3 linked regions of the Oryctolagus cuniculus genome follow. The protein of the gene in region 2 interacts with the protein of the main gene of each other region in a biochemical or structural test. Links are inferred from orthologs where the notes say so. Each region holds a gene or a part of one and is shown on either strand. Other genes may lie near its edges.

The links.
Region 1: the proteins of CREBBP (region 2) and FOXO1 form a complex in vitro, tested with the Homo sapiens proteins (3 studies listed by BioGRID, with this or other methods). The link is inferred for Oryctolagus cuniculus from reciprocal best matches to the Homo sapiens genes CREBBP and FOXO1.
Region 3: of the proteins of CREBBP (region 2) and histone H2B type 1-B, one has a biochemical effect on the other in vitro, tested with the Homo sapiens proteins (2 studies listed by BioGRID). The link is inferred for Oryctolagus cuniculus from reciprocal best matches to the Homo sapiens genes CREBBP and H2BC3.

What each region holds. Positions count from the first base shown.
Region 1 is NC_091440.1:72,838,318-72,842,010, reverse strand, and holds the start of FOXO1 (forkhead box protein O1), read right to left. Parts: upstream 2,925-3,693; 5' UTR 2,789-2,924; coding exon 2,141-2,788; intron 1-2,140. UniProt on the Homo sapiens protein: Transcription factor that is the main target of insulin signaling and regulates metabolic homeostasis in response to oxidative stress.
Region 2 is NC_091450.1:31,772,378-31,776,025, reverse strand, and holds part of CREBBP (CREB-binding protein), read right to left. Parts: intron 3,282-3,648; coding exon 3,092-3,281; intron 1-3,091. UniProt on the Homo sapiens protein: Acetylates histones, giving a specific tag for transcriptional activation. Mediates acetylation of histone H3 at 'Lys-18' and 'Lys-27' (H3K18ac and H3K27ac, respectively).
Region 3 is NC_091436.1:153,352,396-153,355,177, reverse strand, and holds histone H2B type 1-B, read left to right. Parts: upstream 1-1,469; 5' UTR 1,470-1,797; coding exon 1,798-2,178; 3' UTR 2,179-2,234; downstream 2,235-2,782. Other genes in the region: histone H3.1, read right to left, coding at 37-447; histone H2A type 1-B, read right to left, coding at 1,077-1,469. UniProt on the Homo sapiens protein: Core component of nucleosome. Nucleosomes wrap and compact DNA into chromatin, limiting DNA accessibility to the cellular machineries which require DNA as a template.

The sequences.
Region 1 (3,693 bases), on a different chromosome or scaffold from region 2:
TCGGTTTTAACAAGTAACTCATTTTTATGAAATGTCTAACCAGAAGACTAGTTATGAGTTAGAACAGTTCAGGTTTTTTTTTTTTTTTTCCTTAAAATACCCTTTTACTCAAACTGAAAATACACTTGCTGGAATCTGACTTGCACCAACTGATTCTTCATTACTCCTGAAACATCTACTCATCTGACAAACACAGACTACTCCCTCCCAAGGCCAGGCTCGGAGTTCCCTCTGGGAGCTGCCACTCAGCACATGGTCCCTACTCAGCACTTAATAGCTCTCCTAAAGACAATTTTAAAATACAAAATTATACCTGCATCTTTAAAAAAAAAATGTTAAAACAAGAACTTAAGAAAATGGTTAAGGGGGTGATATGACCTTAGAGTTTACATACATATAAAGTCTAAGCCTTAAAAAGTTCTAAGTTATATTCCTAGTGTCAGAATACCTTGACAATGCCTTGAGAGGCAAACTAAAAATATCCTGAAACACTGCCCTTATCTTTAAAGAAAGCTACTCCAGCAAGTTGAAGTAAGTTGTATCCATTTCCAAGGACGTGAAAGAATGGCTAAGTACACACAGTACTCTGAATGTCAAAAAAAAAATTTAATTGCAAATGCTTTTTAATAGCTTAAATAGAATTGATAGATGAGCAAATCAGTCAAGTACTTAAATTCCAATACTAAGTGAAATTGGATTTGACAATCTTCATTTTGTGACTGAGAACACAAGATACAAGGAGCCTACAGCAAGAAGGCACTTTACTTTTACGAACCACTTGGCAAAACTGCACGTAATGCCTACTAATGAGGTTATAAGTGATACTTTTACTCTTAAACACTGTTAGGAAAAATAAAGTCCTGACTCCTTCTCCAAGGAACCTCAATAAGATGTGAGGAAGCTGACCTTTCTGACACATTAACCACAGAACCGACAGGGTATGTGAGCCAGTCGCTGTAACGCTCGCGCGGGGAAGACCACTCCGTGTTACGCCGTACAGTCACGCTAAGGGGCCAGGCGAGGCGAGAAAGGGGTCTGATTCAAGCAGCGAGTCTTTTCACATCCAAAACCGTGAGAAACTGTCGGCTTTCGGGGGCCCGCGCCGAGCGCGTCCTCCCGCGGCCTTCAAGGCGGGGAAGGGATGCGCCAGCCACCCCCCACCCGAGTCTTTGCCAGCCTCGCTCAGGATGTCCTGCCGTGGCCCGGACGCGCACCTCCTCTGCGACTTCCCCGGCCGCAAGGGTCACAAAACCCCCTGCGTCGGCCCTCACCGGCGCACCAGCGCTTCATAACACTGAGGTGGCGAGGCCAAGAAAAGGCGCGCGGGCGCGCACACACACACCCACCCTGGCCTGCCTCCGTGTTTCTAATTATTAGCCTCACACCGTGGCCAAGCCCATGTTTGGGGCGCTTCCCTGCGTGGACCGGGGCCGGCCCGCCGCGCTGGCCCTTTAAAGGCGCTCGCTTCCTGCGCCCGCGGCCCCTCCCCAGCCGCCGCCGGCGCCCGCCCCCGCCGAGGGTCACACTTGAACTTAGCTCGCCCCGCGCGGCCGGGCGCCGGCGCTCCGCAGGCGGTGGCCGCCCCTTCGCACGTGTCGGAGGCGCTCCCTCGGGCTCGGCGCGCCTGGACCCCAGCACCCGAGGCCACCCGGGATAAAACCAAAACAAAGCCAAAAGCGCATCGGCCTCCAGAAGTGGCGCGGCCGACCCCGCACCGTCCCAAGGCTGTCCCCTCCACCTGCAGCCGTGCCCCCCGGGTTTGGGTGCCCCCCTCGCCGCCCCCTCCACCGCTCGGCGCGGCGGAAACGGCCCCGCGCTGCGAGGGCGGAGAGGAGCCGCCCTCCCCGCCGGAGGTCCGGGAGGCAAAAGGGGCAGCCGCTCCGCGTGAAACCTTCTCTCTCTGACTGGCAAACTTTCCTGCCCGCTCTGACGCCCAGTTCCTGACGCACTTTCTTCACGCCTCAGTTCCCCCCCAACACGCCCCTGTGCCTGTCCCACCGCAACTCTGCGGCGCGCGCGCGCCTCCCCTCCGCCCGGGCAAGCCCCCGCACCTGCCACTTCCCACCCGCCCTCGGCCGCCCGCGCGACCCGCCCAGCCACCCCCGCACCTGCCCCACCGCGCCCCGGTCCGGCCGCTCACCTTCCAGCCCGCCGAGCTGTTGCTATCGCCCTTATCCTTGAAGTAGGGCACGCTCTTGACCATCCACTCGTAGATCTGAGACAGCGTGAGCCGCTTCTCGGCCGAGCTCTCGATGGCCTTGGTGATGAGGTCGGCGTAGGACAGGTTGCCCCACGCGTTGCGGCGGGACGAGCTGCTCTTGCGCGGCTGCCCAGCGAGCGGCCCAGCAGCCGCGGGGGGTACAGGCGGGTGCTGTGACAGTGGCCCGGGCGCCGGGGGCTGCGGCGGCGCCGGGTGCAGGCAGCCCGCCGCCTCTGCGCCCTGGAAGTCCCCGCACAGTCCCCCGGTGGCAGCCGCCGCGGCCGCCGCCACCGCCGCCGCCGCCGCTGCGGCCGCCGCCACGGAGCCGGGCGCCTGCGGGAAGTCCTCGCTCTCCTCCAGCAGGCTCAGGTTGCTCATGAAGTCGGCGTTGACAGCGGCCGCCGAGGCTGGGGGCAGGCCCGCCGCGGCGTCGGGGTTGGCGGCCGCGCCGCCCGACGGCGCCGGGCTGGAGGTGGCCGAGTTGGACTGGCTAAACTCCGGCCTGGGCAGCGGCCAGGTGCACGAGCGCGGCCGGGGCAGCGGCTCGAAGTCCGGGTCGATCTCCACCACCTGAGGCGCTTCGGCCATGGTGACCCCCGCCCCTCCCCCAGCCGCCGGAGAGCCGAGAAGGGGGGGAGCGCAGCGCGGAGCGGAGGGGGCGCAAAGGCTGGCCCGAGATCCTGGGGGGATGGGGGGAGGACGAAGTCAGTGCCGCGAGCTGACGGAAACCGGGAGGAAGGAGCAGCGGAGTAGCCGCGCGAGCCCAGAACTTAACTTCGTGGGTCCATCAACATCCAAGGCTGCTCCGGGTTCGCTGCACCACCAGGACGGCTGGCCAGAGCCGGGCAGCTCCAGGGCCGCGCTCCTGCTGACAGGGCCACGGACGGACGGACGGACGGACGGACACCGCGGGCCGCTCGCTCTCGCCGGCGGCGCGAGCGCGGCGCAGCTGCCTGTTGAATGCGCTGGAGGCGGCGGCGGCGGCGGCGGCGGCAGCAGCAACTACGCGGCTGCCCGACTTACGGGATCTGCCACCGCCCCCCGCCCGCGGCGGCGCGCGCGCCGGCCCGCCCCCGATTGACAGCCCGCGCAGCCAATGGGCGCGCGGCACCGCCGCCCAAGCAGCCAGTGGGAGAGGGCTGGGGAGGGGCCCGGTTTTCCACGAGGAGGCGGCTGTGGGTTGGTAGGGGGGTAGTGGGGTGTTTTTCTCGTTGGCGCACACGCACGTTCTCTCTCTTTTTGTGATTATTTTCTGGTAATTCTCGAGTATTTCTGCGAGTCTCTCGCCCTCTTACTGTTTTGACTGCTGAGAGGCAAACCAACGTGGAGGCGGCGGCGACACTTTGTTTACTACGGGGGAGCCGAGCCGTGGACTGGCGAAGCCCGAGCGGAACGAGCGGCTGCCGTGGCCCCGACCTCCGCTCGGCGCCCAGACCAGGGCAGGGCAGGGCAGGGCGCGGGGCGGGGCGGGGTGGAGGCGGCCGCGCGGAATT
Region 2 (3,648 bases):
CAGGGCTGACGGAGTCTCCTGAGCATCCCCAGCAGCCATCCTGTCTCCAGGACACCTGGCTGCACAGCACCCTCGGAGGCCAGCGGGTGCAGGCGTGCAGTAAAAAACCCACGCTCGGCCCCCACGCGACACACCAGCACTGGCAGACCTGGGCGCCCCCAGGTGTCCTGGCTTCCACCAATCTGCTTTACACAGAGACGAAGCGGCATTTGGTTATCTGCGTAACTTTTTTTTTTTTTTTTTTGGACAGGCAGAGTGGACAGTGAGAGAGAGAGACAGAGAGAAAGGTCTTCCTTTTCCGTTGGTTCATCCCCCAGTGGCCACTGCGGCCGGCGCACCACGCTGATCCGATGGCAGGAGCCAGTTGCTTCTCCTGGTCTCCCATGGGGTGCAGGGCCCAAGGACCTGGGCCATCCTCCACTGCACTCCCTGGCCACAGCAGAGAGTTGGCCTGGAAGAGGGGCAACCGGGACAGAATCCGGCGCCCCGACCGGGACTAGAACCCGGGGTGCCGACGCCGTAGGTGGAGGATTAGCCTAGTGAGCCGTGGCGCCGGCCTGCATAACTCTTTATAAGAAAACAATCGTTTCATCAATAGGTTTTCCATTCTTCCAGATGAAGGACTAGCAAACAATGACCAACATGCCACATTTGGCCTGCTGCTCGCTTCTGTGCAGCCCAGGAACTAAGAATGGATTTTACGTATTTTTAACAACTATTCAGAAAAAAAATAGTCATGCCACATTTGAACAACTGACAGTGTTTGTTGCCAATGACAAAATGTGGGCTTTCATCCACAATGAAGAGTCTGGGAAGACTTCCATCTGCCACGGGGCTTGACAGCGCCTCTACGTTCCTAAGATTTGCTTGAAGACCGATGGTGATAATAATGAACAGAGTTTTTCTATACTTGATAGTGAAACACGTCAACCTTTAGAAAATCTATAGGGGGTGGGGCCGGCGCCATGGTGCAGTAGGTTAATCCTCTACCTGTGGCACTGACATCCTATATGGGCGTCAGTTCTAGTCTCAGCTGCTCCTCTTCCGATCCAGCTCTCTGCTATGGCCTGGGAAAGCAGTAGAAGACAGCCCAAGGGCTTGGTCCTTGGCACCCGCATGGGAGACCAGGAAGAAGCACCTGGCTCCTGGCTTCAGATACACACAGCTCTGGCCGTTGCGGCCATTTGGGGAGTGAACCAACAGAAGGAAGACCTTTCTCTCTGTCTCTCCCTCTCACTGTCTGTAATTCTACCTCTCAAATAAATAAATAAAATCTTTAACAAAAAAAATAAAGAAAGAAAATCTACAGGGGGCCGGCGCTGTGGCATAGCAAGTAAAGCCCCCACCTGTAGTGCCAGCATCCCATATGGGTGCTGGTTCAAGCCCCAGCTGCTCCTCTTCCAATCCAGCTCTCTACCGTGGCCTGGGAAAGCAGCAGAAGATGGCCCAAATCCTTGGGCCCCTGCATCCGCATGGGAGACCTGGAAGAAGATCCTGGCTCCTGGCTTCGGATCAGCGCAGCTCCTCCGGCCATTGAGGCCATCTGGGGAGTGAACCAGCAGATGGAAGACCCCTCTCTCTCTGTCTCAACCTCTCTGTAACCCTGCATTCCAAATAAATAAATAAATCTTAAAAAATCTACATAAATCACAAAACTAGTACTTTTCAGATGACCTAAGGATGATGTCACACCCCTCCCCTCCAAAAAAAAAATCACCCAAACACAAAAGATCCTTCAAAATGCAAGATGGGCCAGTGTGTTCCAGTCATAGAAAGCACAAAAATTCACTGCTGTGGGCTCAGACTCCACGCAGCAAGCGGCCTTCTCCAATCACCGCCCGGCTGGCGCTGTGGTGCCGCAGGTCAAGTTGCCGCCTGTGACACCAGCACCCTACATCAGAGCTCTGGTCTGAATCCTGCCTGGGCCCCCGCCACCCACACTGGAGATCCAGCCCAGCCTCGGGCAATGTAGCCGTTTGGAGAGTGAACCCTTCTGTGTCAGTCTTTAATTCCGCCTTTCAAGTGAATACATGAATTTTAACAAAAAGAGAAAAGATAAGTCCCACTTGAAGTATCAAAGCAGATATCCACAATGACCTGAAGGGCACTAAAACCCTCTTTGCTTCACAAAACAACTGAGGGCCAGGTCAGACCCAGCTGCGTCCCTAACTTCGTCAGAGAGAAACAAAATGGTAGAGCAACATCACTACTCTCATTTTAGAAGGTAGTTTTCATAAAGTGTGTTACGTATGGCAAACACACAGAAGCTGTACCCCCTCAAGTGACTTCTAGGAGAGTGAACAGGGACAGGCAATCCACACGAACAGAAGCTCTGGGGTCTCCAACTGTCAAGACCAAGAGCAGGCCTGAAGCCAGCTGTGCTCCAGCATCTCGCAGCTCCCCCTCCACATTCTCTCCGAAACCTCTCCTCGACGTGTCGCCAGCAGCCCTGAACCTTCTCCCATCCCACAGTGCTCAGGTCCAAGAGACACTCTCCTCGACGTGTCGCCAGCAGCCCTGACCCTTCTCCCATCCCACAGTGCTCAGGTTCAAGAGACACTCTGGATGCAACCCAAATGGGCTGGGTCTGTTCACCTGCCACTGCGCGGCTGGATCACTCCACACATCTAAGATCCCAAAGCTTCCCGACCCTGCCCAGCACCCACATCACCAGGCATGATCCCGCCGTGTGCTCCAGCAGCCGGGACTCCTCAAGGTACCAGCAGAAACCACCCTCACCCCTGCCCAGTCAAGTGCACACAGTGGCCACTTCCTTGAAATTGCTCTGCCCCGCGAGCCCATCACTGGTGCTCCCACAGCGCGAGTCAGCCCCAACTCCTCTGCCTGCTGGATGACCCAAGGCACGTTCCCTGTACCTCCAGGGCCAACCTGTCTAAAGCCAGCCGTGCACTGTGGGCAGCCTCTCAGGAAGGCGGCTCAGGGCTTGCGCACACAGGGCCCAGCCCACACCACTGCTAAGGAGTGCAGCGTGAGGAATGGCAGGCCAAGCAACACAGGATTATTGGTCTGCTGTAGCTGTCAATCCCCAGTGTGGAAGCACCGCGCACGGGTCACAGAGCCAAAGACCTACTTTTCTTGCGTGGCTGTGAAGGGGATGTTGACTGCGAGGCCGTCCCATTGGTGCTGCTCTCTTCTTCCTCCTTAGCTTCCACTTTTACTTCGGGTTTCTTTTCATCCACTTCCATTGGTTCTGGTTTCTGCTCTGTAGAATCTGTTTCTTCTTTAATTTGGGAGGAGCCCTGCAAATCCTCCTCCATCACCTTAAGAAAACAGAATTACAGATGACTCGTGAACAGCAAAGACCTTGATTGTCACTCAGTCTTAACGCAAGGCTCTTAAATCTAGGTGGGCGGGGCCAGCACTGCGGTACAGTGGGTTAAAGCCCTGGCCCGCAGTGTCAGCATCCCATATGGGTGCTGGTTTGAGTCCCAGCTGCTCCACTTCCGATCCAGCTCCCTGCTAATGTGCCAGGGAAAGCAGCACAGAATGGCCCAAGCCCTTGGGCCCCTGCACCCACGTGGGAGACCTGGAAGAGGCTCCTGGCTTCATATCAGTGTGGCTCCGGCTGTTGCGGCCATCTAGGGAGTGAACCAACGGATGGAAGACCTGTCTCTGTCTCTACCTCTT
Region 3 (2,782 bases), on a different chromosome or scaffold from region 2:
AAAGAGCCTTTTTGGAATCCGATAAGCTTACAGGATTCACGCCCGCTCCCCGCGGATGCGGCGCGCCAGCTGGATGTCTTTGGGCATGATGGTGACGCGCTTGGCGTGGATGGCGCAGAGGTTGGTGTCCTCGAAGAGGCCGACGAGGTAGGCCTCGCAGGCCTCCTGCAGCGCCATGACGGCCGAGCTCTGGAAGCGCAGGTCCGTCTTGAAGTCCTGCGCGATCTCGCGCACCAGGCGCTGGAAGGGCAGCTTGCGGATGAGCAGCTCGGTGGACTTCTGGTAGCGCCGGATCTCGCGCAGCGCCACCGTGCCGGGCCGGTAGCGGTGCGGCTTCTTGACGCCGCCCGTGGCCGGCGCGCTCTTGCGGGCCGCCTTGGTGGCCAGCTGCTTGCGCGGCGCCTTGCCGCCTGTTGACTTGCGCGCTGTCTGCTTAGTACGAGCCATCTCGCGCCGGTGGGACTCAAACTTCTTGTCTGCGGCGACAGAGCTGCCTTTAAATATCGTTAGGACTACTGTGATTGGCTTCCGGATTTTCAAAAAATCCGCGCGACAAACTCATTGGCTAAAGGAGGAACTTCGATGATTGGTCCACTCAGACAACCTGATTGGCCGGATTCATCCACTGTCCGTTTGGGATGGTAGACGTTTTCTAACATCTGGATCATTCCATCTCAGAAGCGTACCTAACCGTGGAGGGAGATTACCTCAGTAACAGGCCCTAGCGTGGACCCCGAAATCCCTAATTACCTGGGCCTGCCGTCTAATAGCGCCCGATAAACACTGAGCCACGGAAAGGTGCCCTGACTTAAGGCAAAACGCGTTTTACGTTTGAAACAGCTGCACCTCGGGGGCTATTTCCCGACTGACACACCCCCCGTCACTGTGTGGCCTTTCATCCGTCACAATAAATACACGTTTCACTTGTTTCCACAGTTTTCTTAAGCGCTAACGCTATCACCATGGGAAGGACTAATTCCAGTCAGGGTTAGCAGCTTTTTTGTGAAACAGTGGATGGCCCTGAAAAGAGCCTTTGGGTATTTCAAAGCGAGAGTTGCGTCGTCTTTACTGTGGTTTCACTTGCCCTTGGCCTTGTGGTGGCTCTCGGTCTTCTTGGGCAGCAGCACGGCCTGGATGTTGGGCAGCACGCCGCCCTGCGCGATGGTGACGCGGCCCAGCAGCTTGTTGAGCTCCTCGTCGTTGCGGATGGCCAGCTGCAGGTGGCGCGGGATGATGCGCGTCTTCTTGTTGTCGCGCGCCGCGTTGCCCGCCAGCTCCAGGATCTCGGCCGTCAGGTACTCGAGCACGGCCGCCAGGTACACTGGGGCGCCGGCGCCCACGCGTTCCGAGTAGTTGCCCTTGCGCAGCAGGCGGTGCACGCGACCCACGGGGAACTGGAGCCCGGCCCGGGAGGAGCGGGTCTTGGCCTTGGCGCGCGCCTTGCCGCCTTGCTTGCCACGCCCAGACATGGTACAGCCAAACACGCTTCGCAATCTGAAGTAAAGAAAACCATACCCGCCAAGACTGTGCTTTTATAAGCAGCGCAGGGCTACTACAGTACGTCATCCTATTGGTCGAAATAGGTTCGCCTTTTCTGCCCAATAGGAAAAGACAACCCGGATACCTTATTTGCATAAACAACCCCCCTAGAGAAAATTTCTTTGTTGTCCAATCAGAAGTGAGAAGTCTCAAACCCTCATTTGAATTACGGGACTATAAATATATGCACTCCGGCCTGTCATCACTAATCAGCTGTAGACTGAGTCTGTTTTAGTCTCTCAGCCAATATTAAAAGCAATGCCTGAACCCTCCAAATCCGCTCCCGCCCCCAAAAAGGGCTCCAAGAAGGCGATAACAAAGGCGCAGAAGAAGGATGGCAAGAAGCGCAAGCGCAGTCGCAAGGAGAGTTACTCCATCTACGTGTACAAGGTGCTCAAGCAGGTGCACCCCGACACCGGCATCTCGTCCAAGGCCATGGGCATCATGAACTCGTTCGTCAACGACATCTTCGAGCGCATCGCCGGCGAGGCCTCGCGCCTGGCGCACTACAACAAGCGCTCGACCATCACGTCGCGCGAGATCCAGACGGCCGTGCGCCTGCTGCTGCCTGGTGAGCTGGCCAAGCACGCCGTGTCCGAGGGCACCAAGGCTGTCACCAAGTACACCAGCTCCAAGTGAGCTCCCGAATTGGCGCCGCCGCCCCTCACCCCAAAGGCTCTTTTCAGAGCCACCAACTCTTTCACAAATAGAGCTGTGGCCGACGTCCTTGTATTTTGCTCCTGTTGAGGTGGGTTTAGGTCGGGTGTTAGGGCTGGCGTTAGTGACGACCCCAGAACGCGTGTTTATCCCGTGCAGGTCGGCGCTGAGTAACCTTAGGGCACTTTGGTCGGGGTCGGGGACTGGGGTTCGCGATGTGATGGGAGATGCGCATTTCGTGAACTCGGGTTCGCATGAGCTTTGAAGAGCCCCCTCTAACATCTCCAGCTCCTCGACAGTGAAATGGAGTGAAATTCCTGCAGTTCTCCCTGTTACCTACCTGTAGCCACTAATCACGTCGGCTAAGCAGTCCTTGAGTCTTCAGAAATCCATGGATCACCTATTGGATGGGGCGGATTTTTCTCAAGAATGGAGCCTTGATACTGGCTGGAGTCAGGATGCGATCTGAATCCCGCGCCTTTCCTGGTTCGCGGCCAGCCACTGGCTGAGGGGAGGGGCCAGGGCGCGTCGGGGCGGAGGTTGGCCAGTGCCGTGGCTTTAGAGCGACTCTGGAGTGGTTCCCAGA